4 linked regions of the Drosophila melanogaster genome follow. The protein of the gene in region 2 interacts with the protein of the main gene of each other region in a pairwise test. Each region holds a gene or a part of one and is shown on either strand. Other genes may lie near its edges.

Evidence for each region.
Region 1: the proteins of Dbx (region 2) and CG6996 interact in a two-hybrid assay, tested with the Drosophila melanogaster proteins (one large-scale study listed by BioGRID).
Region 3: the proteins of Dbx (region 2) and CG9173 interact in a two-hybrid assay, tested with the Drosophila melanogaster proteins (one large-scale study listed by BioGRID).
Region 4: the proteins of Dbx (region 2) and trr interact in a two-hybrid assay, tested with the Drosophila melanogaster proteins (one large-scale study listed by BioGRID).

The regions. Positions count from the first base shown.
Region 1 is NT_037436.4:20,203,576-20,211,307, reverse strand, and holds CG6996 (uncharacterized protein), read right to left. Parts: upstream 3,775-7,732; 5' UTR 3,684-3,774; coding exon 3,680-3,683; intron 3,443-3,679; exon of another isoform or gene 3,441-3,442; coding exon 2,350-3,440; 3' UTR 1,708-2,349; downstream 1-1,707. Other genes in the region: CG7017 (uncharacterized protein), read left to right, coding at 1-625; CG7290 (uncharacterized protein), read left to right, coding at 5,307-5,310, 5,382-6,637; CG7298 (uncharacterized protein), read left to right, coding at 7,706-7,712.
Region 2 is NT_037436.4:1,917,346-1,925,709, forward strand, and holds the start of Dbx (Dbx), read left to right. Parts: upstream 1-3,961; 5' UTR 3,962-4,069; coding exon 4,070-4,586; intron 4,587-6,927; coding exon 6,928-7,632; intron 7,633-7,909; coding exon 7,910-8,014; intron 8,015-8,073; coding exon 8,074-8,177; intron 8,178-8,295; exon of another isoform or gene 8,296-8,364.
Region 3 is NT_037436.4:1,418,553-1,426,836, forward strand, and holds CG9173 (uncharacterized protein), read right to left. Parts: upstream 4,920-8,284; 5' UTR 4,811-4,919; coding exon 3,509-4,810; 3' UTR 2,647-3,508; downstream 1-2,646.
Region 4 is NC_004354.4:1,884,676-1,892,847, reverse strand, and holds the start of trr (trithorax-related), read left to right. Parts: upstream 1-2,897; 5' UTR 2,898-3,072; coding exon 3,073-8,172. Other genes in the region: arm (armadillo), read left to right, coding at 729-1,018; mRpL16 (mitochondrial ribosomal protein L16), read right to left, coding at 1,619-2,235, 2,305-2,370, 2,453-2,501. UniProt on the Drosophila melanogaster protein: Histone methyltransferase that acts as a coactivator for the ecdysone receptor during development. Specifically trimethylates 'Lys-4' of histone H3, a specific tag for epigenetic transcriptional activation.

The sequences.
Region 1 (7,732 bases), about 18 Mb from region 2:
AAAGCAGTACCGTTGCCCCATCAGCCAGACGAAGAAGACCAGTCCCGCCTGCCGATCCCTGCCGAACAACACCCGTCTGGCCGATCCCGTCCACTGTGACCAGTACTACGAGTGCGTCAGCGAGGTCTTGCACAGCCGAGCCTGTCCAGTGGCCAGTGCCTACGATGCTAATCTCGGCTACTGCGTGGATGTGGCTGAGGTGTCCTGCTACGAGAGTGCCGCCCTGCCGGAACCGGAAAACACCTTCTGCCTGGACAGTGCCACCGGATCCGCTCGCGTTGGCTACTTTGCCGACGACGAGTCCTGCTCCCACTACTATATCTGTGGCAGCCCCGTCGCCGGCAAGCACGACACGGAGCCCAAGCACCTGAGCTGTCCACTTGGCCAGTACTTCGACTTCGAGAAGCTCTCGTGCCGCGACAGACTTAACGTACGCTGCCAGCTGGACAGGTGTGTGGGCACCAACATCACCTACGTAAACGTCGCCGGCGATTGCCAGAGCTATGGACGTTGCTCCGGCGGAGTGACCGTCAGCCTGGGCCAGTGCCCAACGGGCTACTACTTCGACGAGCGCAACCAGGGATGCACACAGACCAACTACCACAACATCGCATGTTCCGTGTAGGCTGTCCCAGAAGATCGCATCCTTACCACAATCCTTACCAAATCGCATCCAATTTAAATATCCAATAAATCGATCCAATTCATGGTGGAGGTCAAATGCATTGCTTGAAAGGAATTCATGTACTTTGTGGTGGGAAGTGTTAAGTTTTATGACATTCATCCATTTACTTTTTACCATGGAAATGGGTCTACAAATATTAGCTTCTCGAAAAATGTCCAATAAATGTGTTACTCCATTGAAACCTGAAATGTATATATATATAGTTTATCCATTGCATTTGGCTCTATTGTAGTTTTATTCCCTTTCCATTCGAATTTTACCGTCTGCTTCCTCTTTATAGAAGATGTTACCCTAACCTTGAACAATAAAATATGAATTGGTATAAATAATGCTAGAGAAATACTATGATTTTTTGGACTGATTTTTGAACTACATTGGCGGAAATGTTCATTAGCGAAACGAAGTTGGCGTGATAAAATTCTTCTGGCAACCCTTTTGATATCAAAACTGCGCCACACAACGATTCATATTTGGCAATCTGTTTTCGTGACACTTGCAGTGCCCAAAAAATTATCAGTTTTAATTAAAATTGTACCCCAGTGGAGGGTTCGGAGAATTTCAAACCGATTCCAGATAGTCCAGATAATGAATTCGCTACTCGGAGCTGCCGCGATCGCTTATTTCCGTGTTGGCCATCAGGCGAGCAAGAAGTATCCAACGCCCAAGGGTCGTTTTTGTCTATCACTAATTAAATTCAACTATTAGGGTCGATGTTACCCATTAGGTCCACAAATATTGTATGAGTGTGAAATGCAAATGAAATGCATCGACGCGCTTTCGTTCTCCATAGAAATCAATTATGTCCACTTTAAGAAGGAAGTTATACAAGTCCACAGGGCGGATGATTGATTTGTATGTAGGAAAGGTCAAGTATTCAAATGACAAACGGGGCAACTTTGCAGCCTCGCTATAATGTATTAGTATTTATTGATCATAACAAATAACGATAACAAATTCCGAAAAACTCAATAATATAAGTTATCTTGTTATGACACCTCATAGACATATGTACATGTACATATATGGTGCCTAATGAATAAAGTGGTTTGAATAATCAACTTTGTAGTACGATAACTTCGTACTTTTCCATTCAAATCTCCTATTGCAGTTGTTAAAAACGGTGATATCACCCATGTATGGGCCATGAATGGGATCCAATGGCTACCTCCCTGGTACTTTCCCATCGCCAAATTTCCAAGTGGTGTTCTTGAGTATGACATCACGGTTTCACGTTACCGAGTGTCTTGCTCGGCAATCGATTCAAGGAAATCTTGGCCCAGAGGTGATCTGGTAACTTAATCGTTATTGCGCCTGATTACACCACTTATATTTATTGTATCGGCGTCGAAAAAACAAACTGTCTAATTAAAACTGATTGCGTACGTCGCTCACGAGACCAAAATATTGCTGATAGTGCCATTCATCAGCCGACGTTTTCTGGCAGGCGGGATAAGATTATATTATGGCTCGGATGGTTCACAAATGAGTCAACTTTTAATCGTACAACTAAGCTTTTCGAAATAATCTTTTTATACCTAAATACATTTGAAAATTCAGATGTTTGTATTGTGATCAATTCCACGAAATCTAAACAAAGAGCTGATCTATAATTTGTATGGGACTTGGGCCTGATAACAGCACTACTTATACTTATGAGGAGCTGCTCACGACACCGGGACCGCAATGGTGGTGCTAGTGATGGTGCTGCTGGTGGTGGTGGTGGTGCCACTTGGAACTTGGGACCCGGTGGTTGCCTCCGATATCTGACAGGCGGTATATGATATGACCTGGGTGGTGCACCGTTGGGTTATTTCGTCGAAGTACTCGTCCTGCGGACAAGTTCCTTGGCCAATGACGATGCCATCCTGGCAGATCGAGTAGCCCCTGCAGCCATCATCCGACTCGTTGGCCAGCTGAATGGTGGAATTGCCCAAGCCCACGCATCGATCGTAGCCGCATTTCACCTTGGATCGCGGGACACAGGCTCCGCCATCGGTGGCCAGGAAAAATCTTCCATCGGAGCAGACGCCATGCTCCAGCGAGAACTCTCCATTGCCCAAATCCTTGCAGTAGTAGTAGCCATTGCAGGTCTTGTTATCCGATATAAATCCACCCGTCTCTGGACATACACCCTTCTTGCTAATATCTGGCACTGGGACGAAGTCACACTCCACATTCTGCGGATAATCGCACTGGGCCGTGGAGGCCTTGAAGTAGAAGGTGCCCGGACAGGTTCCATTGATCACCTGGCCATCCCAGCACAACTGATAGCCATTGCAGTTGTCCGTGTCCTTGACGAAGACCCCATCCGGCAAGATGTTGCAATAGCTATCCGGGTCCATTTTATTCGAGCACGGAAAATCGCGGATGCAGTCCTGCGTTCCCGAATTGAAATTCATCCCAGTGTTGCACACTCCGTGCGTCCCCTTGCCATCCTTGCAATAGTAATAACCATTGCAGGAGTACGGATCAGCCGCGAATCCGGTGGGCAGAGCAGCGCACGGATCACTGGACAGACACTTGATACTACTGGAACTCAGGCATTTCTGGCTCTCCCGGTCGTAGAAGAGTCCAGTCGCACAGCTACCACTCACAGGGCTCCCATCGATGCACTGAATCCACGCGTTGCACGCCCGAGGATCGTTCATCTTGGTTCCGTTGACCACCAAGCTACATATTAGAGTTGCATTGAAGGTCAGGGCGCCTGATATCGTGGGGATCATGATGAGTCCGGAAATGAAGGCGAGCTTTGTGTCTGTTTTGCATAAAAGGGTATAAGTACGATATTCGAAATAAGTTGCAAGTGAAGTATGCTTTCAATTTCGATTTAAATTGCATATTTTTTTTTCAATAAATGTTTGAGTTTTCGTTATGAACTTCTTGAGCCTAAGTCTACGGTTTTCTATATTTATATCTGTCTATGAAATGGTAATTCTTCTCGAAACAACAATATAGTTACTTCGATGGATATCTGCTAGTGCCAGAGATACTCACCCATCTCGAGTTCAGCAAACTTTTAGTATTCCAAAGATACAAGTACCTCTTAACGGCTAACGAGGAAAAGAACGTCTAACTGGATGCCATCCAAGTTCGCCAATAAATACAAATCGAAAGACAATGCTTATGCCCTCGCTACTTTTGGGTTTTCCGAAAGGTCTGTAAATTTTGGAAGCTCTAAGTTAGTCTAGAACTGTCTTCAGTGGCTAAAATGGACGCATGACGTATTCATATTTCACTTTTATCAGATTCGGTTAAATCCAAATTTGACAAGTGATAAACTTGGCCAACGCCGGTGCGCAGTTCATTTAAAACCCAATTTGTTTTTATTTTTGTCAACTTGTGCGGTCATACCTTTGGTTTTTTGGTAGTATTCGTTGTCGAATTCGTATCCGCTTGTTTATAATTACTATCTTTAGATTGGGTCTAATTTAATTTATTACACATATAGTAATTAACTTTATTTCAAAATCAAATGTTATTATGTTTATCGCCTGCGATCTGCTGACTCAGGTGCACACGACATTATGCTATTAATAGTCCACGATGACCGATTCTTACTGACATACATACTTATTGAGATTACTGTTTAAAATTATACATTATTGTGAAATTATTTACGATTAAACTAACTTTATGAAATAATCTGCCGATCGTCGGTTTTAATTGTACCTGATAGTCGTAGAGTAAATGAGTGTACAGAGTGTTCGTTGAAAGGAAAGATACTATTGTATAAGAATATAGAAGATTGATGTGAAAATTACTTGGTGTATAGGTATGCTACAACAAGTAAACCACATATAAAAAATCTAGTGTCCTTGAACTCCCTTCAAATGAGTACTGAGTATCTTAAAGTCGAGGAACTACACTAGCTTACTTGTTTTTTTAAAGTCAATTGGGCTTTACCACATAAGTCCAACTTTTCTGTTCCGATAGTAACAAATATGTCTAGGAATCGCCACAATTAGTCAATATTATTAAAAACAAAGTGTGTGGGTTTTGCCATATAATATGTAGGTAATTTTAAGCTAATTTAGATTACTCTAATCTCATTTCGTTTAATTGATTTGTTTGAAAAAAAAAATAGAAAGGACCATATTTGGAGAACTTCTTGATATGGTACTACTTGAATTATATAATTCGGTAAAAAACTCATTCAAATTTAATCAAGTATATACATTTGGTTAAACAATTATAACAATTATAAAGTCGTTAGCTTTAAAATGCGAACTCTGTTATAAGTTTAGAGCACGATGTAATTCTTTATTGCTCTTTTATTTACACATTAACTTTTTAATATTCCAATTATAGAAACGCAGTCTAAAAAATACATTTGAGTTAATAAAAAGAACCCAAATTTCTATCCGTCTGAGTTCTGGGAAAGTTCTTATCCCCACAAAAACTTTGTTGACTTGTCAAAATGGCCATCGATCATGCAAAAATGGTTCGTTGGCTTCGCTTGCGATACATCACAAAATGGGTTCCTGAGCTGAAGGGTCGTCGATCAACTTGGACAGCCCAGCGGATCGAAGATAACTCCTGGCTGGACTGCAAATAAAAGCCCAGGAAGTCCATCAACCAGAAACAGTATTCAACTAGGAGCCACCAAAAGAAGAAGCAAATAATGGGTGGGTATCGCATATAAAAGTTCGAAACAGGAAAAATTGGAACATCATATGAATATATTCAACGCTTCCAGGTGGACAAAAAGCAACCATCCTCGCTGCCGTGGCGCTGGTGATCGCCTGTGCCGCTCCAGCAATAGCCGATGTGAATGTCACCGCCTTGTGCCTGCTGGTCAGCAATGGGAACTACGTGGCCAGCCAGTCGGACTGCTCGACCTACTACCAGTGCCAGGGATCCTCGTTCACGGCCATGTCCTGTCCCCAGGGCTACTACTTCGACAAGAATGCCCAGCAGTGCACGGGCACTGTGCCGAGCACCTGCACCAGCAACTCCGATCCCTGTCTGGGCAAGGCGGTGGGATCCTTCGCGGCATCCAGTTCGTCCTGCGGCGGCTACTACTACTGCGGAGCCTCCGGCGCTGTGAGGGGCAATTGTCCTGCCGGCGAGAACTTCAATCCCACCACAATGGCCTGTGTGTACAAGAACAACTATCCATGCAGCGAGTCCGCCGGTGATGGCTCCACTGTGTCGGTCGCCCTCAACCTATGCAATCTTGTCAAGAATGGCTTTTACTTTGGAAGCCCTTCCGACTGCAGTGGCTGGAACTTCTGCCAGGACAACGTTCTGCACTCGGGATCCTGCGAAGATGGTCTAGTATTCAATGTGCAGGCCAGCAACTGCGGCTACAAGATGGCCTCATCCTGCGCCCAGGTCACCAATGATCCATCCCTGACCGGAGTGTCTGCTCCGACCACATGCTCCTCGTCGGGAGCAACGATCGCAGCCACCGCGTGCAACCAGTACTACCTGTGCTCCGCCGGCAACTATCAGCTGATGACCTGCCCCTCGGGATACTACTATGATACCATCTCGAAGGCGTGTGTGACCAGGATGGAAGCGAGGAACGACTGCGACAGATGTGTGGGCACCACTGCGACCTTTGTAAACGCCTACTCGGCAACCAATTGCTCTGATTACCTATACTGCGTGAACGGCGTTCAGAAGGCCGTGGAGAGCTGCCCCACCAACTACTACTTCAACGAGAACCTCGGATCCTGCGTAAACGGGTTGGAGCCCAAGTTCCTCTGCTGCAATCCCACGCAAAGCGATGGAACTTCGACGTCTTCCTCTGGTTCGACTTCCTCGGGCTCGACTTCCTCCGGATCGACTTCCTCTGGGTCAACTTCCTCCGGCTCGACTTCCTCTGGCTCGACTTCCTCGGGCTCGACTTCCTCTGGCTCGACTTCCTCGGGCTCGACTTCCTCCGGCTCGACTTCCTCTGGAACTTCATCCACAACCTCTACTGGAACAAGTTCAGACAAAAAATAATTTAAATAGCATTTATGCCAAAAATAATAAATACAAATCAAGTTTGGCAACTCAATTAAAAGTATCCACCCAAGTTATTCGCACAGTAATAGGGTATATGAAGTAAAGTGTTCTAAAAAGGATATATATTCTTAATTCGGATAGGAAATCGGCAAATAAAAGAGCTAAAATGCCCAAAAAACTGTCACCAAATGCGACAAGAATAAAGGAAAATTTCCATCGACGTACAGAAGATCCAAGGAAATACCATCAACACTTTATTGACCCCATATGGCAGGGCAATAAAGCCGAAATTAAAGATTGCCTGAGCGAAAAGTTTTTCATCGCCAAACAAGTTTTACTGGGCAGCGTCAACGCCATACAAAAGCGATAAGAGTCCATTCAATTTAAGGTGTAGCTGTTAAAGTTACATAATATACATACATTATACATATAACAAATTTAAACCATTTGCTAGAAAAAGTTCTTATTTAAATGAATAGCATTAATTAGGGTAAAATATTATATTATTTTTAAGAAAGGGTCGTTTTCTATTGCACAACATTATCCCGATTAAAAGACCTTGATTTGATTAATCTTACAACACTATCGAATGAAAACCCCACTTTTCAGTTATTGTACAACACTAGGCTTAACTACACGATGTTTTACTTTCCAAGGTAGACCTACACCATTGATAAGGATGTGGCTGCGTCAGTTGTTTGTTTTTTTTTTTTTTTTTTATTATTAAGTTGCGGAACAGATAGAAATAATGACAGATAAAGAGCTACTTAGTGGTTAATACAACTATACTTTAATTAAAATCGGTTAAATAACACCCCGAAAAGATGTTCAGCGTCTATCTGGTGGAATAAATAAAAAATGGAACAATGTTTCACTGTCTATAATTCCTGAGAATAGCTGGGCTTATCTACATTCAATTTACGATCTCGATGGCCAAGTTCGAATCGTAGACCTATAAAAACCAGGCAATGGGAAAACTCCACCATCAGTCTTCGACAACCTTTCATTGGCCGATACAAGTGGTATTCGATCCCCAACAGCGGCAAAAAGTATTACCAACTAACGATGACAGGCAAGTGTTTCGCATGGGAT
Region 2 (8,364 bases):
TCGTTCTGTTCCCCCATTTAAAAAGCGGAAAGAGATCTTCATCGAGGTCATGAACTGGGATAAATTAAATATTGGTATGGTATAAAACGTAACCATTTGAATCACGAGTTCAAAAGAATTGAATATCATATAAGCGATTTGTAACCCTATAAAAATATTATACTAATAATTAACCGCTTTATTTGCAATCTATTGGCAGTATAAGGAGCTGGTTCAAATTAGCTTTTCTCACATATTTACACACCTAACTAGGCCCACTTAACAACCACTCGACTGAACGGCACTTTCCGACCACATGGTCCAAACACAAATAAATATGCGAGCCACCACAAAACCACAACTACGAACAAACCACATACACACATGGCCAACTCACAAACCATTAAATGTGTAAATTTCATAAATTAACCAATAAAGTTGGCAATTATTTCCATACACTCGAGAGCAGGCAAAAAAAAAAAAAAAAACGCCGCGTGTGCAATCAAATTAAGTGAAATAAAGTAATAAAATGAGAAGTGGAAAATATTTTCATAAACTGTTTGGCGGCTCGTCGAGTCCCATGAAAACTTTTCGCCCTGCGCTGAATAAAAAATAAAGAAAATAAAAATCCAAGCCAAAAACTTGGCAACTAAAAATCGCTTCATTCTAATTACTTCCGTTCGCGACTCCGCTGAAGGACTTCCGCCAGCAGGACACGTCGTCCAGTCCAAGTTCAAGTTGAAGTTCGGTCTTTTCTCGGCATTTCGAGGCAATGGTAACGCGAGTGGGAGTAGCAGTTGCGAAGGGGGGGGGGCGTGGCGCATAAAACAATCGTTTTGTAATAAAGATGAAAATTTTATTAAAAGATGTCGGAAACAGATGTCGCCGGCAGGACGAGAACGAGAACGAACTCCGAACCCAGAAGCCAGGAGCCAGGAGCCAGAATCTAGAAGCCAGGAGGCAGGAGCAACCCACTGGGCAGCAAAAGCCAACGACAACACACACTTTATAATCTTTTATCGCATTTTTTCTACTTGGCTGACACAAAGAGCGTATTTATGCGACTGTTAACGTTATGAAAAGCCCATAATTTCGCAGCCACCCCGAGAGTTGTGCTCCGGTTTCTCTAGTTGCCGGCGCGTATAATAAAAATAATAAACGTTGTCCTCTGAAAATCGATGGCAAACAGAATTCGCATTCATTTCATGGATGGTGGGCGGGGTGAATGTGATTCGAGTGGACTGGGTTTCGTGGGCGTGGCGGGGACATGGTCGTGGCAGCAGCTGATATCGACAGTTAACTTGGCTGGAATGCTTTTTCTATATCGTCTCTCGCATCGAGTGTCGTGTATAAATGTTTGCGCTTTATTATATTGCCCGGCCACGCCCCCTCCCCCCAACCAGACAGCCAACCCAACCACTCAACCACCCATTTGTGCCCCAACCATCTTGCAGCATCTTGTGACATTTTACCTTTTTTTCGCAGCTGCAGACGATACACGATAATGATATCCATATAATGATGCGACTGTCAGCGGCATTCGATTCGATACCAAATACTCGCCCCAAATATCCATGAAGTTGTTTATTCGAACTGGAGTGGCATGTGGCAGCGCTGACAGAAGGAAGTCTTTGAATTTGGCCAACTGGATTTATCTGCAAGGCTATTTCGCCAGATTGGATGAAGTGAGTTCGAAAAGAAAGCGAGTTCAGTTGTCAGATGCTTCAGGATTAGATGAAGCAGTTGAAAAGATGAGTAATAAGTATGTACAATACAATCATTTTGTGTCCTCGTCTGTTTGTGAAGTGTGTTATCATTTCCCAAAGTAAGTTGGATCTATCTATTCGCTGCCTTTGATCTTTACAGCTGGAATAATATATTTTTTATATATTTTTCTATATTTAACTTATTCTTTGATTTCTTTGATTTCAATCCCAAATGTACCTCCATAATAAATCCAATCAATCCACATTCATCATATATTGCGTTATGAGTGCGAACAATAAGCCCACAATGCCCGGCCAAAAAGCCAAACGTTAGCAGCCCAATAATCCCCACTTCAGACCGACCAACATCATTTACATATTTCCAATTCGGCAAACAAATTAAAAAAATAAAAACGGAAATAAACTCACACCATGGCAACACTCCGAAAAACAATTAAAAGTTTGTCTTCAACACCTTCCACCGCGCGGAAAATGAAAAATGGGGGCAAGGATATATACATATATATTATTGGGGGGGGCTTCCGACAAAAGCCTGTTTCGGTGACCCCTTTCATTTGTCAAAAAGCAGCAGTGACAATGCCAGATGGATCCAAATCCAGAATCTCGAAAGCCGGAGGAAGCTGCACATTCAGCCCACTTATCAAATAATTGTCCTCATATTATGGCGACTACAAAGAGAGATGGAGATAGCGGCTAGGAGAGAGAGAGAGAGAGAGAGAGCGGAGCCGGGGAAATAGTAGAAAATGGAAAATACTCAGCTTCAGCTTCAGCTTCAGTGTCGGTGGCAAATAAAAATGTAAGGACTCTTGAGCGCACACAGACACACACACCACGGGCGGAATCCTTTGCATAAATGATGATGGTATGATGAGAACTTTTAATCATTATTATCACATATTTATACGCTTATATGAGCATGTTTTATGTACTCGCTGCCAGCAGAAGCGGTGGGTGAAGTGGAAATCCTGACGTCCTGGCTGCACGGATACGGGGTAATCCTTTGAGGCGTGCTCCATATGAAAGCAAAAAGCCACAAATGGCAGCGCAAAACAATCTGAGCTGGGGCCTTTGTTATCCTTGTACTTCTTCCTATTGTCGAGGGCACTTCTCCTCCTTTCAGCTCCTTTCAGCATTCTGATGGGAATCGCATTCGAGTGAGGCCACGCCCCTTCGGCGGGCAGGACTCCTTGGGACCCCAGCGCCTGGCACACAGGGGTTGCTCCGTGCTCTCGCCCTCTCTCTCTTTCTGCTCGCACACAATAGAGGCCAAAAGGACACACACATCCTTGCCGCATTCTGCTGTTTATCTAGCTCCTAAGCTTACATAACCGCTGCTCAGCCATTTTCGCATTTACCACGCTTTCGACGCTGAGTAAATAAGTCATCATTGTCGATAAACTCGATTGTCGTCATCAACGGCGACGAGGACAACTAATTTGCGGTCATAATAAAAGTTAATCTACTGACTCCTTGGCCGCTTGTCGGAATTTTTTTTGCTTCCCATGTCTGCAACAAATTGCTCGCACAAATTCAAAAGTCTATGGATGTAGAAGTCCAGTTCAAATAATGTAACTAAATGCCATTACTCTATATCATCAAACTTTGTACATTATTGGGAAAAGTTATTTGTTGAAAGGATCCTTTACGTTAATCAAACATGTGAAACATATTTTCTTTGCCTATGTAATGCTTAGCTTAAACCAGTTGAGAATTATAATAGAAATTGTAGTATAAAAACAAAATAAAATATTTTGTTTCCAGTATAAAATTACATATTTTATATTATAATTAAATGTAAATTAAATGTATTCTAACAATGCGCCCCACTGTGCGGCACCGTGGAATGGCAGCTCAAATTTAATAAGATCGAGCCAAATTCAGTTCAAGGCAGCAAGTGGCAAAGGCAACAAAACAAGAAAATTAAATTTTTATTGTTTTCACGCAAATAAAATCAAATAAAAAGCGAACAACAATAACGAGCAGGCAAAGGCTAAACAGGACACTCACGCACGCACACACACACACTTACGCACGCATACGCTCTCGCAAGGAGAGCGAAACAGAGAGAGGAAGAGAGAGAGAGAGCAGGATGTACATAAGGACTAAGCATCACGTGCCGCACAGACGGCACTTCTACTGGGCAGGAGAAGCGGACCAACCAACGACGAGCAACCCCGTAATCGCACTCCTGGGCACCCGGATGCTGCGTCCTGCGCCTGCCAGGACATTCTGCCAACCGAGTTCAGTTCGAATTGAGCACTCGACGCGAACGCGACAACTGGCGGATACAGACGAGAACTGAATCGGTACGTGTACGGATACTAGAGACTACGGAAATATAGAGCAGCCAGCTCCGTCGCGTTATGTCTACGGCCTTCCTCGTGGACAGTCTCCTGCACGCCCAGCAGACCTACACGGAAAGCCAGCTGAAGTCCAGCCTGAGCGAGATGCTCCTATCGCGTCGGTCGGCCACGGGAACGGATGCCGCGGATCCGGCTGACCAGCCCACCGAGTCCTGTGGCTGCTCCAAGTTGCGCGGCTACAAGTGTGATAAGTGCCGCGAAATCCGTGCCGAGAGTGTAGAAAGCATCGAGGAGATGGACGAGGACGATGGTTCCTCCTCGGCGGACGAAATAGTCGCCGATATTGGCAGTGTCGAGGGCGAGGAGCCGCACATGGACCTGGACGAGGAGCTGGAAGAGGAGCTGGCCGACGTGGACGAGCCCGTGTCAATCAAATTGCCCAAGGTGGAGCCCAAGGAGACCAGCATGCCGACCGTCGGCAACACCATCCTCAAGGATACCAACAGCAAGCCCATTCTCAAGTTCAGTGTCAGCGCGATCCTTGGCGACACCCGGGAAGGAGTCCGTGTCAGAAATGGTAAGACATGGTTGGCAACTAGCAATTTTAGCTTAGTAGTATGCCTTGAGGTGCTGATGATCTTTGCTTCTCTTTCAATGTTGTTTTCACTGGAACCCCTAAGATTAAATTTTGTAATTACCTTGGGCCCCTCCAATTCTGAAGTCGATGAGATAGTTTCCTCCAATTAGGTTTACGCCGCGGGCTGCTTCAAAGAATGTTATAAAAAGGCTTGGCAATTAATTTGTCGTGGCTAATGCCGAATAAAAACAAAATACCGAACACAATTGCAATATGAAAAGCCAAAAGAATAACAAATCTGGCCCAAAAGTTTACGCAGACTCCTCGCGAGGGTAGAACGCAAAGTACTGGTACTTCGCAGTTGCTTTAGTTTTTACGCCGCGACTTTATTGTGTGTTGGCCTAAGTCCTCGGGGCGTTTCACCGCTGATCCTGCAGGCTGTAAAAACACAGCCAGGCCTAATCATGTTTAAATTATTGAGCCAAGCCCCTGAGCACAAAGCCGCATAACCAGTTCGTCCCATCCACATCCGCACTTCCGCACTTCCGCCAGGATCTGCATGGGATATGGTGCGAAGGATCTGCATGGGATATGGTGCGAAGGATCCTCTGCCGCGTGCTGCTTACAACGGGGGATGAGAATGAGAATGGGAATCCCTATGCCAGATAGGACATGGAAAAGGTCCTGGGGGCGGGGGACAGAAGGTAGGCGTAACCAATTGGCCATCAGTCAATGTAACAGCTCTGCCTTGGCCGTTTTTTAGTTGTATTGTTCTCTTGTATTTCTGGGGATTGTGGGATTTAATTGTCATGTGATTATGGCATCGCGGCTTACTTTCCATATTAATGAGTGGGCAGGACCTTTCGATTTCCCGTATTTTATCACTATTTTTTATGAGATTTTATTGGCGATATTTTGGGGTTAAATCGTACTGTTTTTTATGATCAAAGCGTGGCAAAAAATTTAGAAATGGTACGAAATATGACTATTATTAGGTATTATATTAGAACCAGAATAGCATAAGTAACTTTTAATGTCTTAATAACGCAGCCATTAGGTATCCCCTCCACACACACACACACTTTCTAACTTATTCTGTCCATTAATCTCCTCCGCATATTCCAACTAATTGCCATCACATTTCAATCAATAATCCACTTAGCACATTTTCCCCTCGAAATGTGAACGGCTTTTTGCCCAAGAGTATGCCACAAATGAACTTTTTTGCAGGGCCATAAACCAATAAGTCGAAAAACTTGCCACATTTTGGGAGCACAGATGCAGATACAGAAAAGTCGGTAAACCGCCGACGAACAAAACAAACAAAAGCGAACAATTATAACTTAATTTGTGCGCTCATTAGGCACACATGTGCCACACACACACACACACACACATTCCTACACTCCTACACACACAAGGACAATCAAGGATGCCATATGGAAATGGAAATTTTCGGTGCTCCGCAGAGCAAAATGCCGTTGGCCACAGGAGTCAAAAGCATCGGATTGAACGCGCACACAATGTCGAAACTAAAGAGGCGTTAATTCGTTAATTGTTTCAGTTCTCTAATCGAATTAAAATCATATCCTGGATATCCTGCAGCCACTGCCAGCCTGTCAGGCTGAGCGGGGGCGGGGCAAATCAAAATGGGGAGAAGCCGCCATGGCGGCTGCCTTTTTGGGGTGTTTAATTAGAAAATGAAATGCAGCCACGCAGGGGTCCAAGGGCGAGATTCCATCCCCCGATATCCTTCCCATACAAATGGGGATGCAGCATATCCTTCAAAGGCGCCAAACTTTGCTCTCAAGGTGCGAGCTCCTGTGTCTGTCTGTCTGCCTGTCTGTCTCTATGTCTGTGTGTGCGTAAAGTCCTTTATCCCGGGGATCTTGTGTTTGCTTTAATTATGCCAACTTCACACTGACACTTCAAAGCAGATTTCATTTCCCATTGTCTGCGCCGGCGTGTGTGTGAGTGTGTGTGTGTGGTGATGGGGGGTGGCATTCGGGGGCCATGGCGCCTGTCTGGAAATTCGCAAGACAGCACATAACGCGCTTCAACGACTCCTTGAGAATGAGCCAAGTCTCGGGGCACGATAACGACTTTGGCAGATTGTTTTCAAGGCTGACAATCTGACACTTCAAAGTGGTTTTAAGCACAGAAGACTGAGAATTAATTAGCATACAACCAATGTTAAGTTGAAGGGATACATCAAGTTACTATAATTTCCTTTATTAAGTTTGATTAAATGCTAATCTCTAGTTTTTCCAAGTGCCTCCATTTTGGACAGCGCTTTAGTGACTCACTCGCCACTAATGGTGCCGCCACTTCTTCTCCACAGAGTTCATGCAACCGCAGCATATATGGCCTTATCTGCAGCAAAACTTCATGCAGCAGCACTCGCATCAATATCAGCAACACCATCAGCAGCAGCAGCCGCATTCCCACCCGCAACACCAGCCGCTGGCAGTGCCAGGACATCAGCACTCGCATCCGCATTCGCATCACCATCATCATCACCATCCGGGGGCGGGGCACGCCCACTTTCCGCATCCCGCATTTCTAACGCATCAACTGCCGCCGCATCAGCATCACCAGCAGCAGCAGCATGTACAGCAGCAACATCCCGGCAATAGTTGTCAACCGCAAACCGCATCCTCGTCGTCGTCACCTGGCAGCACAATTAGTGATAGCGACAACAATCACGGCGCATCGACTGCCAATGGCAATGGCAGTGGCACTGGCAATTCTGGCCAGGATGCTCGACCGCACGAGCTGGCGAATTCAAATCCCGACGAGGATAGCAGCGCCAGTCGAAGATTAACGCAAGACAAGCAACAGCAGCAGCAGTTGCTGGGCGCCGGAGGAACAGGAGGAGGAGGTGGTGGTGGCCATGGCCATGGACACCCGACGCCGCCGCCACCGCCTCCTCCGCCGGTGATTGCCAAGCCCATGCCCAGCCGCCCCACGCCCTTCCTGCCGCACACCCTCAACCACCCGCACCTTCACTCGTTGCTGGCGCACTGTCGCAATCCCTACATGAGTGGTAAGATATTCCAAAAGGATTGCTATTAAAATTATTTTATACATATAAAATGGATTTCTTCAAAAATATAGTAAATATATCCTTAGAATAATCTAATAGATTCAATTTCTCAAATTCAAGAGTTAATTTCCAAGTGTAATGCCCCTAATGGTCGAATATATCAAATGTCACATCCCCAACCAGAGTCCACAGCCACCCGCTGTGCCCATTAACAAGTGTTTTGGTCTAATGCATTTCCTCTTTCCTCTTCCCCTCCCTCCATCGGCAACAATTGCAGTTGGCGCCCAAGTGTTCCCCCTGCCTCCTGGCCAGGGATTCCCCTGGGCCCATTCGACGCGTGGCAAGCCTCGCCGTGGAATGATGCGGCGTGCCGTCTTCTCAGGTGCGTAGTTGGGGCATCCATTCCCGAAGGGGTTCATCTAATGGTCGCCCTCATTGCAGATTCCCAGAGGAAGGGGCTGGAGAAGCGGTTCCAGCAGCAGAAGTACATCAGCAAGCCGGACCGCAAGAAACTGGCCGAGAGACTGGGATTGAAGGATTCTCAGGTGAGACGAGTTATATGTTCATAATGGCTGATATTACACAGCTATGGAGCAATGAATCATGTGGTTAATCACGCCGAATTTCGTTTATATAACCCAAGTGATTGGGGATTATACAACTGGGGGCATAGCTCAGGGGTAGAGCGTTCGACTGCAGATCGACAGGTCCCTGGTTCAAATCCGGGTGCCC
Region 3 (8,284 bases), 500 kb from region 2:
GAAGGCAAGCGAGTGGGCGACGAGACAAGGCAGGGCGGTCCAGAAGTGTGGGATAAGTTGGGTGGAGTGGAGTGGGTTGGGTTGGGTCCAGGTGAGGTGCCAACCGAGCACACAATGCACGAAAAACAAACAGAATTGTCATGGGAAATATTTCACAGCGCTGCGAGTGAAGTGCCCGAGATGCTCCCCATTCGCCCCCCTCCAACTGACAACTCCCCTCTCCCCTCACCGCTGCACTGCACTGCACTCCACTCCATGCCGCAACTCAGCTTGGAATGTCTTTCAAAACGGTATCACACACACAAAACACTTTTCCTCTTGCCACACAACACAAGCATATTTAAGAGTTAAATGCTTCACTAAACAATAAGCCAGTGCAGCCAACTGGCCGAGTGAAGCCAATGGGGCAGTGCACTGCGAAAAACAAAGGTGTCATAACCAATTTAAAATCCTATCATCACTATCATAGCTATGCTACTTGTCGTTTCTCGCAGTGCATGATGATTCGAACTGGGCCTGGGACATGGTAAAATTCAAGTTGAAGGCGAGGCGATAATGAAACCAAAGTCAAGCACATCGAGCCAGTCCAGCCTTTGGGCCCTCCTTTTGGGTTGACAGGTTGTCCCTTGTTGCATACCCTGCCCCAATCCCAATCCCAATTCCACTCCCTCCCTGCCTCCCCGTTTGCCCCAACAATATACCATTCTGGGTTCTGGGAAGTTCTCATCCTCTCACACCCGCTCACTGCACTTCGTGTTTGCCCATTCTGTTATCAACTATTACAATATTTTTTGTTTAATTGACAAACAGGTTTATCATTAACATTTTTCTCACTGCTCTTGGCCACGGACTCCAACTGCTCGGATGCGTTGGCGGCGGCCTTCTCCACATTTATTTCGGCGTTTCAGGTGGAAGCGGCGCTTCAGTTGACGTCGCTCCAACTGTTTTCCCACACTGATTTCGGATCACGCTGGACACCGTGAAGCGGCGGAGCAAACTCAACCACAATGGGATGATGTGAGAAGTGTACTAACTGATCAATAAATAGGAAGTTCGGGCTAAGAGGCTTCTCCTATCCATGGGAACCCCAGATGTAATCAATTGTCAACCAGATTTTGGATTACATTTTAAAGACCATGAGTGGGTTTACCTCTTTACCCACTAAAAGTTGAATTAGCGTCATAGCTTCACTTTTAATCACACATCCAGTTTTAACAACTCAATCTCGACAAAGTGTCGCCAAAAGTGCAGCGGATGGAATGGATGGCTTTTTATCACCTTTACCACTTTGATATCTAAATACTTTGAGGGCCTGCTCGGCAGCCTCGTAAACCGCTAAGTGCTACCAAAGTTTTCGGGATTAAAGAGCTTCTGGCCGCTTCGGCTGCCGTCTGGATTGTTTGCTTTTGGCGCTGCCGTGAAAATGCATTTTCCACCCCCCTTCGACCATCGCTTTCCCAACTCCCGGCTCCGTGTGCCCGTTTTCTCACCTGAGGCCAAGTCTGCAGCTGCCGTGTCGATGCTCGTTTTAATTTGTTTGTTTACATTTTCGGCTGCCCCCCCCACCTGCAGCCGCGGCGAAGTTTGTTCCCATCCCGCGGCTGGGCGAAATGTTTGGAAATAGAGGTCGGTCCATGGGGATTGGGTATCGGTGGGAGTAGGCTGCACCACTGGGAGCTGGGCGTGTGTTTTGGTGTTAACAACTCGACACTTCATTAATTGAAGTTGAAAAAGAGCAGCTATAAAAAGACCATTAAGCTTCAGGCCCACAACAATGCAGCAGATAGATGCCGCATGTACACACAAAGAAATTTTGTAAAGTTCTAATGCTTGCCTTGGGCATCTGATAAACTTATGTTTTATCTTTTCATATATATAAACTTCAAATGCATTTTCCGAGTGCAAATGATTTTCGAACTATCAAAGTGAACTTCGAGTGGCTGCAGTGCGCATTGAATGCAGGGATATAACAAATTGAAAGACGATGGCGGGAAACTTTCCGAGTCTCAGTTCGCATTAGACGCAAATTTGATGGCTATTGAAAAGTTCAATGGTTTCGTGCGTCTCTTGAACTGCCTCCACCAAGTTGCCTCCAAGTTTCATCCGAAGCCGAAAAGTGGCACTCAATTGAGTGTGAGAGCTTTGTTTACCACACACATGCCGAAGCAAAAAAAAAAATTTTTTGGAATGGGAAGACAGACATAGACGCATCAAAACTGGGCTAATAGAGAAACTCAATGTGAGCATATCATAATTAGAAATTTGGCAAGACGTGGCATTATCTAGAGATATTCCAATATTTCCAAACATTTAATGGGCATCGCTTAATGGCACAACTCTTGGGCAAGAACCGATCGCGGATCCATCCAAAGATCGCTCCCCCAAGCGATTGGATCGTCGTCACACATAAATAGTTCACGAGCCATCCGAAGGCAGTGGACATAAAAATAAATCTATATGCAAATGTGACTCCAGTTTAACATGCCACAGCGACAGGCAGATGGAGATGCAGGCGGCAATTCGAGGGTGAAGTCTAGGCCTAGCCAAAAATATGTAGGGTAAACACGGGTGATTCGACTACAGGAATGATAATGATAAAAAGTCAAAGTTTTAAATCTAAACCAATAATAAACCATCTATAAAATTAAGATCAATATGTTGCCATTAATAATTATTATATTTATGTAGCTGTTAACATTCGAGTATGCCCCTTTATCTACGAATACCCTATAAAAATAGTTAAATCCCGACAGTCAAGGACTCCTTTCATTGCAGGCCCATCCCAGAATCCCTGGCGCAGAGGCGTCTGCAGTTTAGTGCCTGTCTCTGCGACTTTGAATCTTACAAAATGTGACAAGTTGCGGAATTATTTTTCGCAGAAGATGTTCTTCGACTTGGGTTCTTTTTGCCCATTTAGTTGCAGTTTGGTTTAGTTCGGTTCTGTTCTGTTCTGCGTGCAGATGAGCTGAGATTGATAAGCGGCGAGGAGCGTGAACAGGCCCGAATCCGCGGATCCGCACCATCCTGGTGGTGCAGCTTGGAGGAGCCTCTGTTCCAGCGCGAGATGCAAGTGCTTAGATAAAGGCAGCGATTTATGTGGAAGCTCCTGGGAGCTGCTGGGCGGAGCAGCCGGCGATGACAACAGTAGCTCCATCCCATCGAATGCCACGTCCCATTCCGTCCTCCAGCCGCGAATAAGCCGAGGTGCCAGCAATTTAGTGGCGATTACAACCGGCAATGGCATTTTAAGTGGCCATTGTCAAGACGCGATCTGTGGGCGTGTGATAAGCGCCGGCTCCCGTGTGGGCGATCGATTCCCCAGGTGTGGGAGTGGGTGGCCCGGATGGTGGCATGGTGGCATGGTGGCAGCTCGTTGAACCAAACTTGGTAGCAGAGGTGAGAAAACACGTTCTGTACTTAGACTACTTGTTTCTGGCTATTAAGGGTCAACAATAGCTCTCTTTTCATCACTCAATAATTTATATAGCCAAAATTTAAACGTACAAAATTAGTCGTTGCACTTCATACACTTCGGACCAGGAGGATGAATCGTTCGCGGCACATACGATGGATTCCTCTTCTGAGCCACCTCCTCGGCCCACAGTTTGTTGAGATAATCCTCCAGCTTGGCCACAACATCCTCCTCTTTGTCCACGCCGTCGGAACAGGTGGCAAAATCACTGCCCGAAGATGCAGATGAAGAAGTGCTGTGGCAAACATTCGAGGACTCGCTGCAGGAGTCGTGCTTGCAGTCGATGGGACAATGGTGATTGTCCCAGTCCTCTGGGGGTTCCACAGCTTCATCATAGCTGGTATCTTGCTCCTCTTCGCCAAGCGGTTGGGAAACAGGTTGGGAAATGGCCACTGGTTCCTCCAGACGATACCACTTCACCTTGTAGGAGTCTTGGCCGCATTCGCCAAACTGCTCGCCCGTCAACTGATCGATGTTGCATTCGCAGATGAGGAAGGGCGAATTGCACTGCTGGCATCTGGGTAGATTAACCTCATGGTTGATGATCGGACGCGGTGGCTTCTTCATCCTGACCTCCTTATCCATTTGCGGAACTTGCAAGCCACAGATGATGCAGGGTTCTGGTAGATCTGCACCCTCCGACAGCTTGATCTTCATCATTTGCCTTTGGCCGGCCTTGGGATGTCCGGGAACTTCCTGCTTGGAACAGCCCTTGCAAGGACAGCCCGGCACCAGGAGGGGATCCGATCTGGTAGTCATCCGTTGATACAGCGCTGCATAAACCAGATTGATCTGCCTCTCGTAGTGCTTGTGGGCCCAAAAGAAGGCCGCCTTGTAGTTGTCGAAGATCCTGGATGTCTTGTGCGCCGCATGCATCCAAGCAGCATATTGGGTGTGCACCGCCATCGCATCCACTATGGGATTGCTGATCGTCACCGGTGGCTTGCCGTGATAGAAGGCCTTAAAGGCCCGCTTGATGATGGCATAGGTGAGCATCGCCTCCACCGGTTCCATTTCGCACTTCAGTCGCAGAGCCTGGAGCAGGTCCTCCCGATTCAAGCGACTGTCAGTAGCCGGATTTGGTGGACAATTGGTGCGCAGTCGTTCATGGTAAACGAAAGCCCTCTTAATTATCGACCTGGCAGCGCTGGATTTGCTTGTGCTGATGCCACAGATCAGCATTATCTGCGCCAGGCTCTTGGCTATATCCTCCACATTATCGTCAAACAGTTGGTAGGGATCCAGCTTTCTCCTGCAGTTGCAGCAGCACCGCTTGATTCCCCCAGGAGGAACTCCCGCCTCCTCCTGCAGTTTTCTGGCCCTCTCATAATTGTCCATTGCAATTTGGTTGTTGATGAAGTAAGGAGACAGCAAACGTATCACTTTAAATTTCACTTTTGACAAAACACAAAAATTGTAGATGCTATACACAGATTTCTGATGGACCATATAGTCGCAGACTACTGTATCGAATTCTTTGGCTATTCCATGAAAAGAAAGCTCATAAACTAACCAATACAAAAGTATTGTCAACCTATCTGGCATCCATAAACCTACCAATTTGTGAGCAAACTTGACACACAATTTGATTTGAATGCACAATCTTCGATGAAGAATGCACTTCCCATTTCGATTGGAACTAATGCCATGGCTAAGTTTACCATAATAGAACAATAATCGGTTTGTCCCAATATTTTCCCTAGCCTGTTTTAATTTGGTTATCTGACCCACTGGTGGCCCTATCTAGGATTACACACAGACCCCACACAAGAATGCATTATTTTATCTCGGGACTCGGGTCTCGGTTCTGATCGTAGCTGCAATTATGCTAAATAGATTCGAGCCGACTGACCATCGAAATAAATAAGCGCAAAGAACACGACAGAGCCAAACGATGGCTGTTGTGTCAGACCTAAATTGTTCAAATAAATTAAGTTGTAGCTTTCGAATGGATTGGGGGGATTTGGGAATTGGAGATCGGTGTCTTTGGTGTGGGGATTGGGGCAAGCAAATACGGGAACGTAAACGTTCAGAGGCCGCCGCCTGTTGCATTGTCATTTGATAAATTATGATATTTGATCAATTGTTCCGCTGCGGTGGCTGGAAGTGCTGCTGCCTCGGATATGTGGAGAAGAAGTACGTGGATGAGATGAAGACGTCTCCGCATCCATGCCCGCATCAAGTCCACCGAATGAACTTTTGTTGGGTTTACATTGTAATGGCATCTGGCGGGGCAAACACACAAACACCCAGTCAGTTAGGCAGTCGGATGGTTAGTCCCATATCCATCCATTCATCTGCATAATAGAATTTCCAGGGGTATGAGCATTGGGGATTTCGAAAGGGGGTGAGGCTGCCTCTTTATTGTGGCTAATAGGCCTCTTGGCCGCTTTGTTGTTGTGCCGCCTCAGCCGCCTTCGTTTGCATTCGCTTTGGTCACCATCACCTCACCATCTCCATCTCCATCTGTACCAGCTCACCATCAACATCTCACTCTGCCATTGGCATTTCTATGTGGATTAATGAATGGCAGCAGCTCCAAGATGGGTAGGAATAAGCTGAAGATGAAGTCACACTGGGAAAAATCGTATTCTATTCTCTTACAATATCACATCCTTGAGATATAAACTTGATTTTAGTTGTAAGAAGCAATCTAGCTATAGATTTCGTATTTTGCTCGTACTACTTATAAATGTACTTAAATCATCGACACTTGCATATATATTTTTTTTTTTTTGCTGTGCCTCAAAGTAGACATGTGTTTACCTTCCACATAGACACACACACACACACACACACATCCATTGTCCCGCGTATTTCGCACGTCTTTTTGCTGCGCTGCGCGAATTTCGTCATATACGAGTCCGGTCAGCCGTAAACTGCAACATAAACCTGCAAATCCACTCTGGGGTTTGCGCCGCGTTTCTGAGCGTCACGGTGTCGTTCCGGAATTCACGAGTGATCCAGTAAACTGGTAATAAATCAGATCAGCTGCATCAGACAATACAGCTGATAGCATTGCCAACCTTTCGCAGTCGACGAGCTGGTTAGACTGGCGTTGCCAGATCAGCGGTGCGATCGTCATTCGGCCGCGCGCTCGTTGGGCGCGAAATTCGAATTCAAATTCAAATTTGAACTAATTAAGTTGAACAAAAATTTGAAATATAACCTAAGAACTGAAGCTAGTTCTATTTCCCACGGAGCGCTGGGGACCAACAAGCCAAAGTCCCCCTTTTATATCTGATGGACAGAACAGGGGGGGGCAGTGCCCCCGACCCCAACGACCCGTTTAGGAGGAGTGGTAGGCTATCGAGATCCCCTATAAGAGGAGTCGGAACCCAAATCCAGGGAGGGGGAGGTGAGCAAGCAGGCCCCCCGCCGCCGAAAGCTAGCGACTGCAGTGCAGCTGTGGAGGTGGAGACTCTGGCCACTACAGTCTCCACGACAGCCACAAGCCTGAAGACAATGGATTTCATCAGCGTGCCGGCCCAAAGGGCGGGAGCGAAGTCCCCATCAGGATCGCCGCATCGCTCGCCAGAACTGACCACGACGCTCCAGAATGAGGACCTGCAGGGCATCCTGGACATGATGAAAGCCAAGATCACCGCCATTCTATCCTCGTTCGAGACTAGGCGTCACGTAACCAGCGAGGATAGGGGCGTGCTAGTGGACCTATCGGCGCTCAATAAGAGAGCGATTGAGTTACAGGAGGGTATCAACAAGAAGCCCCCACCAAGGAGTACTGCCACACAGACTGAGGCAGAAAAGACAAAGCGTAGCCAGGTGGCGCCACCCAGACAGGCATTACCGAATGTGCAGGTCCGCAAAACGGACAACCATCGATCTGCCGCGAAATCCACCGGGAAGGCGTTACCCACGACGGCTGACTCCAAACCGGAAAGTTATGCGTCTGTCGCCAAGGACGCTAACAAGGACGAGGAATGGGCTAAGGTGAAGCCCAAGCGCCTGCGCAAAAAACCTGAGGCGCTAATCCTGAAAAAAACGGGTGAGGTTACGTACTCGGATATGCTCCGGAAGATGAAAGCAGAACCGAGTCTGACCGAATTCGGCAAGCACGTGCGTAAAATAAGGAGGACGCAACAGGGAGAACTACTTCTTGAATTAGAAGGTAAAGCCTCGGAGGTCATCCCCAGCTTTAAAAATGAGCTAGAAGCGACGCTCAAAGAGATTGCTTCGGTTCGCACGGGCGCGCATAGGACTGCGCTAATCTGCAGCGGACTAGACGAGACAACGACGGCTCAGGACCTTCACAATTCCCTGGTCTCCCAATTTCAGGGCATCCGCCTGGAACCAGAGGATGTAAGAGGCCTTCGCAGGAGGCGTGACGGGACCCAGATAGCCTCTGTGCTAATGTGCGCGAACGATGCCATTGCGGTCATCAACCGGGGCGTTGTAACTGTGGGATGGTCGCGTTGCCGCATAGCCCAAGACGTCCGCCCAATAAGATGCTTCAGATGCCTCGAATTCGGCCACCGAGCTCCCTACTGCAAGTCAGTCGATCGCTCTGACTGCTGCCTACGGTGCGGCGAGCATGGGCATAAGGCAAAGGGCTGCGTAGCCCCACCAAGATGCCTGATCTGCAGCAGTGACGTGGACAAGAACCACGCGACGGGTGGTTTTGCATGCCCCACCTACAAAGCCAACACCAAAGGAGCTAATAGCCGTCAAAATGATGCCAGAAGAAATTAACATCATCCAGCTCAACGTTAACCATTGCGCAGCAGCACAGAACCTCCTGACTCAAACAGCGAAGGAGCGCCATGCGGACGTAGTGCTTTTGAGTGAACCATA
Region 4 (8,172 bases), on a different chromosome or scaffold from region 2:
CTCTCCGGACTTTACACGTAGCTTGAAGATTTTTGCACTACACACACACACGAACACCGATCTACCACAAATAACCACAGAGTGCAACCTTAAAAAATAAGGATCGTGAATAGTAAAGAAACACATACGTTTCTTTGATAATTTCGCAAATTTATTGTTTTGTATAAATCTATTTTGTTTCCTTTCATTAGACGGCTTTTATCTTTAAGGTCTCCCTCCATGAAGGAGCAGTAATAAACTTTATTTCGGTTCATACTGCATGTCACGTAGCCTGCGATAATCGCATAGTTTTAGCCACCCACAATCCATATATTTTATGGTGTATATACTCGTATCTAGTTTGTAAGCCGTGTGTGCATGCAAGTTTCAGAGGACGAATTCCAATCGACAATAACGCGTCCATGTCGTGTCGTATTTTAGACGTATTTAGTTCTTTTTAAGCAGTATTCAACGACAGATTTTTGTTGTTTGATACTCTAGGTTAATGTTAAAGGGTCGTCGTGTACGAGTGGAGTCTGCATTTCGTTTGAATCGGCATAAATCCAATAAGTGTGTTGGAAAGATGCATTTTAGATGAGTTCCCGATTAAAGCGAGCAGCAGTGAATCCACTTTTGCAGGACTTCAAGGTGTCGCACCATCTGCCAGTTGACGGCTGGCGGAGATTGTAAATCCTCTCCACTAATCACAATATTCCCTATCATTCTTTGCCCATCTCGTTTGTTCACAGGATATGATACTCTACCAATAGATTCGATGCAGGGTCTGGAGATCAGCAGCCCAGTGGGCGGCGGCGGTGCTGGCGGTGCTCCCGGCAATGGTGGAGCTGTAGGCGGAGCTAGCGGCGGCGGTGGTAACATCGGCGCCATTCCGCCTAGCGGCGCACCAACTTCGCCCTATTCCATGGACATGGACGTTGGCGAGATTGATGCCGGTGCATTGAACTTTGACTTGGACGCCATGCCGACGCCACCCAATGACAACAACAACCTGGCTGCCTGGTACGATACCGATTGTTAGACAAGCCGAGCTAAGGGTAAGGGTCGAGTATCCATTCGACCCCATAACATAAAACACACGAATTCCCATCCCTGCACAATAGCCCTCTTCCACCGGCTTTGATTCCATCCCGGATCCCGGAATCGCGATCACCGAAACTTGACTAGATCAACGAAGGTGTGGATTTTACTTGACAAATACGAGGAGCTGCGGCAGGTCAAAGTTCTGCTTCCAGAACTGAAGTCCGTGGGAGAAGGCTATTTGCTCACACACCATACCCCGCGACAAAGCATACACACACGCATACATGCATAATATTATACATTTATTATAATGCGAACGAAACGGCAAGAAAAACATATTATATGATGCATTACATATTACCCACGTAAACGAAATGGAAAATTAAACAAATGTTTGCAATAGAACTCGTACATTTCCCTTCATATGGCGTTTTTCTTATTTGCTCCACAATTGGGTGCCGCAGAGTCACGGCTTGGAACAACGAGCCCTAAGTTCGAAGTTCGAACCTACTTTAAGATATTTCCAGTTTTCAAAAGTACTTGAAACAGTTTCGTAACAGATTAACGAAGGATGGCTTTATTAATTGAAGCTATACATCTACAGGTGCTTGCCGAACCACTTGTGGTCCACGGGCGAGAGCCAACGGTGGCAGCCGCTGAGGTTGTTCTGGATCACGTACTTCATGGTAAAGGGGTTCTCATTCTGGCGGGTCTGTTCCTCCTCGGCGACGCGCTGTTCGTCGAGCATCTCCTGGGAAACGACGGTGGCCTGGAAGGGCAGCTGGTTGGCCACCTGCTGCAGGAACTGCTTGACCTCAACGAACTCGCACTTGCCGGCTATCTCGACAATGACGCGACCGGCCTTGATGGGGGTCACGTAGTGGTCGATGGCTCCCTTTCCGCCGCCCATCCGTTGGCCCTGGCCCTTCTTAGTGATCGGCTGCCAGGGTGCGGGAACGCGCCATGTGGCGAACATAGTGTTGACGTTCATCTTGCGTCCGATGGTCAAACGCATCATTTCGTAGTGGCCCCAGCGCAGGCGCCCTCCGCCAGTGGCCACGATTGCGTACTGCTTATGGAGCAGCGTGTTGTGCACCATCTCCGGACCGCGCATGTATCGCAGGCGCTTCTGCATCTTTGGCGGACGGATGTTTGGCGGCAGCTGGGGCTGGCGCTCAATGACCCTCAGCTTGGGTCTCTCCGGCTGCTCCACATCTGGGGGTTCCCACATTCATTCATTTATTGCTCTAAATTCATTGTGCACATTTAAATGCAACTACTTACTCTGGTATTTAATAGGCGGAGCGAAATACTTAAGACCGGCTGTGTTGACAATTGCCATGTTGCCCGCTGCAAAGAAAAGTTTAAGTGGTTTGTTGCAAACTGTTATCGGATTGGATGTGGCTAGGCAGGAAGCGCCACTGCAACTTACACGCAAGGCTTTGCTTAAAGAGCTGGGAGACTAACTTTAATGAGAGCATGGTGAGTTTATGTCAAAATATATTACTTATTTATAAAATTGTATTGTGCAAAGATGTGTTGCATCAACGGCCACCGTTGCCAGATCGAGCTAATAAATGTGGTGCTAAAAACATATATCGATAGACCACCGATTGGTCGAGTGAGCTGACGGCCCTGTCCAGACTATGGTTTATTCTTGCAGTTGAAAATGTGCCATATTGCACGTGGAACACAATAATTATGTTATGTATTAAAAACTTCTGAAGTTAACGAAAAATGATTGCTGTACAAACGTTATTCGATTGCAACCGCCATGGCGATATGTTGAAATGGGATGGGAAAAGTGGTGGGTTTCTGAGTGGAAAACCAGGGATGGGTAAGAACGTTTCAGGGTAATGGTCGTTTTACCATCTGGTAACACTGCTCTGCATACACGAAAATAAAATTTTTTTGACTAATCGTGCATGTTTTCGCTCGGTAAAAAAAAAAGCAGGCCGCGCGAGCCCTAGCTAGCTAGACCGCCGCCCTTCCCGTCCCACGAAACGCAGCGCATCGCATCCGGCGTTCCGCGTTTCCACTTGTGTGTTTGTTATGAATATACCGAAGGTGACAACATCGCTTGGTGCCGCCGAAAAGGCGAAACCCGAAAGAGTAGCATCCGTGGCCGCCGCTGCCTTCAATGCGGTCAGCCTGCAGAAGCGCAGCGGCGACGACACCGCCACTCCGGCGGAGGATCCCACGCGCAAGAAGGCCAAGACGGAGCTGCTTCTCGGAACTGGAACGGCAGCGCCCAGTTTGCCCGCCAAAGCGTCGAGCACCGCGCCGCAGCAGCTCCTCTACCAGCGGAGTGGACAGCAGGCTAAGGCGCAGGTAAAAGCTGCGTCGGAGCCGCAGGATGTCGAGACGGCGGACGGCGTCTGGGACGCCCGCGATCAGCAGATCATAGTGTGCAACTTCGGCTCCGGCACTGAGATGGGTGCCATCAAGGCGGAGGACGCTGACAAGCAGAGTGAGTACAGAATCAGCACTCCAAGGAACAGTCAATCTAACCCTTTGCTACACCGAAACACAGCCTTTACCAGCTTTACCAAAAAGGAGGGTGCCTCATCGTCGGCCTCGTCATCATCGTCAACCGCGTCCGTCATTTCCATCGAGCCCAGTGGCTCGGGGCAGGATCATGCTGAAAACTCCGGCAAATCTGAGGACCTCGACTACGTACTGATGCCAGCCAGCGGCGCGGATAGCTCTACATCTGTGGGTAACTCCACCGGAACGGGAACACCAGCAGGAACGCCTATTGGAGCTACTACCTCCACCATTATTTTAAACGCTAACAACGGAACGGCAGGAGTCAGTGGAGCCGGCACCACTACAATCCTCACACAGAAATCCGGTCACACGAACTACAACATCTTCAATACCACGGCCACTGGTAGCCAAACGCCCACTACAACATTGTTAAACCGGGTGAATCTTCACCCCAAGATGAAAACCCAGCTGATGGTTAACGCCAAGAAGCTGTCGGAAGTAACGCAGACCACGGCGAAAGTGTCGATTGGCAACAAGACTATATCGGTGCCGCTGCTCAAGCCGCTGATGAGCGCTAGTGGAGCGGCCACAGCCGGAGGAGCCACGATTGTAGAGAGCAAGCAACTGCTGCAGCCGGGCGGTCAGGTGACTACCGTAATGAGTGCTGCGCAGCAAAGCGGTGGTCAGCAGGTCCACCCGCACGTCCATTCTCATGCACATCACAACTTTACCAAACTTATCAAACGCGGGCCAAAAAATAGCGGCACCATTGTCTCGTTTTCGGGGCTACAGATCAAGCCGGCGAACACCAAAATTGTGGCCACCAAGGTGGTGAGCAAAAAGATGCTGCAACTTCAGCAGCACCAACAACAGATCCAACAGCAGCAGCAGCTTCAGCAGCTGCAGGTGACCAGTGGTGGAGGCCTGGCTCCGCCCACAGGCAGCATAGTGACTATCACCACCACCAACCCCAGCCAAACGTACGCAATGGTTCAGGATTCCGCAACTGTGGGACCTGCGGCCCATTCGGAAGACGATGCGCCAGCGCCTCGAAAGATTACAGCCTACTCGGAGAACCTTCAAAAAATTCTCAACAAGAGCAAGTCCCAGGAATCGACTGGAGGCCCGGAGGAGTTCACCAACATCAACAGCGTGGTGATTAAGCCGCTCGACAAGAATACACTCAATTGTCCACCCAGCTTTAACATCTTTAAGCAGCAGCAGCACTCACAGGCTGCTCAAAGCCAATCAATCTCCGCGGTAGGCAGTGGAGCAGGCACACCCGTGACGTTTACCATGGCTTCGGGGAATGCCTCAGATCTGGCCACCACCTCCACCGTTTCCGTTTCGGCGGGGACCATCTGCATAAACAGTCCGATGATGGGCACGCGGCCAATAATCTCCATTCAGAACAAGAACATATCCCTGGTGCTGTCCAAGACGACCATGGCCCAGCAAAAACCGAAGATGATAACTACAACCACGTTGTCCAGTCAGGCGGCGCTGCAGATGCATCATGCTTTGATTCAGGATTCTAGTGCAGACAAGGCGGGATCTTCTGCAAACTCCGGATCAGCTACCTCGGGAGCTTCAATGCAGCTGAAACTAACGACCGCCAATACGCCCACCAAACTCAGCGTTAGTCTGGCTCCGGACGTAGTCAAGCTGGAAGAAGTTGGCAGCGAATCTAAAGCAAAGCTACTGGTCAAACAGGAGGCGGTTGTGAAGGATAGCACTGGTACTCCGACCAGTGAGGAGCGGGCTGAGGAGATCGGCACGCCGGAGAAGCGTTTGAACGCCAATGCCACAATGACGGCTATTAACCAGGTTCAAAATCAGTCCGCCAATCAAATTCAAATGGCCACATCTACCTCAACTGCCTCGAATCCCAGCACACCCAATCCTACAGTGAACGCCACACCTATGAACAACCAACGCTCGGCAGCGGAGGATAATGCACTTCTAAAGCAACTGCTCCAAAACAACAGCAGCAGTCATAGCCTCAACCAGATAAGCATCACTTCGGCTCACGTTGGTTCCGCCTCAGCTTCGGCACCTCTTTCCGCCCGCAAGGTTATCAACGTACGGGCGCCCAGCATGGGGAAGGTCAGAAGTTTGGAGGATCAACTGGCACGTCCGGTGATTCCTCCGGTGCCCACTGCCACGCAGGCGGCAGGTAGTAGTAGTAGCAGTGGATCTGTGGCCACGTCCACCACCACCACAACAGTAGCTAGCGGAGGAAGCAGCCAACAGGTAGCCACCGCCTCAGCGACGGCTCTACCTGTTAGTGCGGTCGCAATTACCACACCAGGAGTGGGAGGGGAGGCAAAGCTGGAGCAGAAATCCGATCAGCCAGCAGCAATTATGCAGAATCAGAGCCAAAACCAGGCGCCTCCACCACCACCGCCACCACAGCAGCAGCAGCAGCAGCAACTACACCAGCCGCAGCAGCTGCAACCGTCACCCCACCAAGTCAAGCAGACTGTGCAGATTGTGTCGAAGGAGACGTCGTTCATCTCAGGACCCGTTGCTGCTAAAACACTAGTGACGGAAGCCACTTCGAAGCCGGCTGAACTACTACCTCCTCCGCCTTACGAAATGGCCACTGCTCCTATATCGAACGTCACCATATCCATATCCACCAAACAAGCGGCTCCGAAGGAACTGCAGATGAAGCCCAAGGCGGTAGCTATGTCACTACCCATGGAGCAGGGCGACGAATCGCTGCCAGAGCAAGCGGAGCCGCCGCTTCATTCGGAACAGGGAGCTACTGCAGCGGGAGTTGCACCTCACTCCGGAGGTCCCCTTGTGTCTGCGCAATGGACCAATAACCATTTAGAAGGAGGTGTAGCCACCACAAAGATACCGTTCAAGCCTGGAGAGCCTCAAAAACGCAAGCTCCCCATGCACCCACAACTGGACGAAAAGCAGATCCAGCAACAGGCAGAGATTCCCATAAGCACCTCCCTACCAACAACTCCGACTGGACAAGGTACTCCCGACAAAGTACAGCTGATCTCAGCGATTGCCACTTATGTAAAGAAATCCGGTGTCCCGAACGAGGCACAACCCATCCAGAACCAGAGCCAGGGCCAGGTGCAGATGCAGGCGCAAATGCAGGCGACTATGCAAGGACACCTGTCTGGGCAGATGTCCGGACAAATCTCCGGACATGCCGCTGGACAGATACCCGCTCAAATGCATTTGCAAGTACAGCATCAGCTCCATATGGCAGTTCATCCACAGCAGCAGCAGCAGCAACTGCACCAGAACCAACCACAGAATGCGACGATTCCCCTTCCAGTTACTGGACAGGGTGCAGTGCCCATCCCCGTGCCCACCATGGAGAGCAAGGCAGGCGACCAAAGGAAGCGCCGCAAACGTGAGGTCCAGAAGCCGAGGCGCACAAATCTGAACGCCGGACAAGCGGGTGGAGCTCTTAAGGATCTAACAGGTCCACTACCGGCAGGTGCAATGGTCCAACTGGCAGGAATGCCGCCGGGGACCCAGTACATACAAGGCGCGGCATCAGGGACTGGTCATGTGATCACCAGTACCGGACAAGGAGTTACTTTGGGAGGAGTGGGCGCCAGTACTGGAGCCAGTTCCTCGCCCATGCTCAAGAAGCGGGTTCGCAAGTTCTCCAAGGTAGAAGAGGATCACGATGCATTTACCGAGAAGTTGCTGACGCACATCCGCCAAATGCAGCCGCTTCAAGTTCTGGAGCCGCATCTCAATCGCAACTTTCACTTTCTTATCGGGAGCAACGAGACTTCTGGAGGTGGTTCGCCCGCCTCAATGAGTTCTGCGGCTTCTGCCGGATCATCATCGGCTGGAGGAGGAAAGCTGAAGGGCGGATCTCGAGGCTGGCCACTGAGCAGGCATTTGGAAGGTCTGGAGGACTGTGATGGCACCGTTCTCGGCCGCTATGGTCGAGTGAATCTGCCAGGGATACCCTCGTTGTACGATAGCGAACGCTTTGGCGGAAGTAGAGGTCTAGTTGGTGGATCTGCACGAACCCGTTCACCCTCGCCAGCAGAGTCTCCGGGAGCAGAAAAGATGCTACCAATGTCTAGCATCCAAAATGATTTTTATGACCAGGAGTTCTCCACGCATATGGAGCGCAATCCTAGGGAACGCCTGGTGCGGCACATTGGAGCCGTCAAGGATTGCAATTTGGAGACCGTAGACCTGGTGGAGAGCGAGGGCGTAGCTGCGTGGGCGACTCTTCCACGACTTACCCGCTATCCGGGTCTAATACTGCTCAATGGAAACAGCCGTTGCCATGGACGGATGTCGCCGGTCGCACTGCCGGAGGATCCGCTGACCATGCGCTTTCCCGTGTCTCCACTGCTTCGATCCTGCGGCGAAGAGCTGCGCAAGACACAGCAGATGGAGCTGGGAATGGGACCGCTGGGCAATAATAATAATAACAATTACCAGCAGAAGAACCAGAATGTGATACTCGCACTGCCCGCCTCGGCATCGGAGAACATAGCCGGCGTGCTGCGGGATCTGGCCAATCTACTGCACTTGGCGCCCGCCCTTACCTGCAAGATCATCGAGGACAAGATTGGCAACAAGTTGGAGGACCAGTTTATGAATCAGGACGATGAAAAGCACGTCGACTTCAAGCGACCACTGAGTCAAGTGAGTCACGGT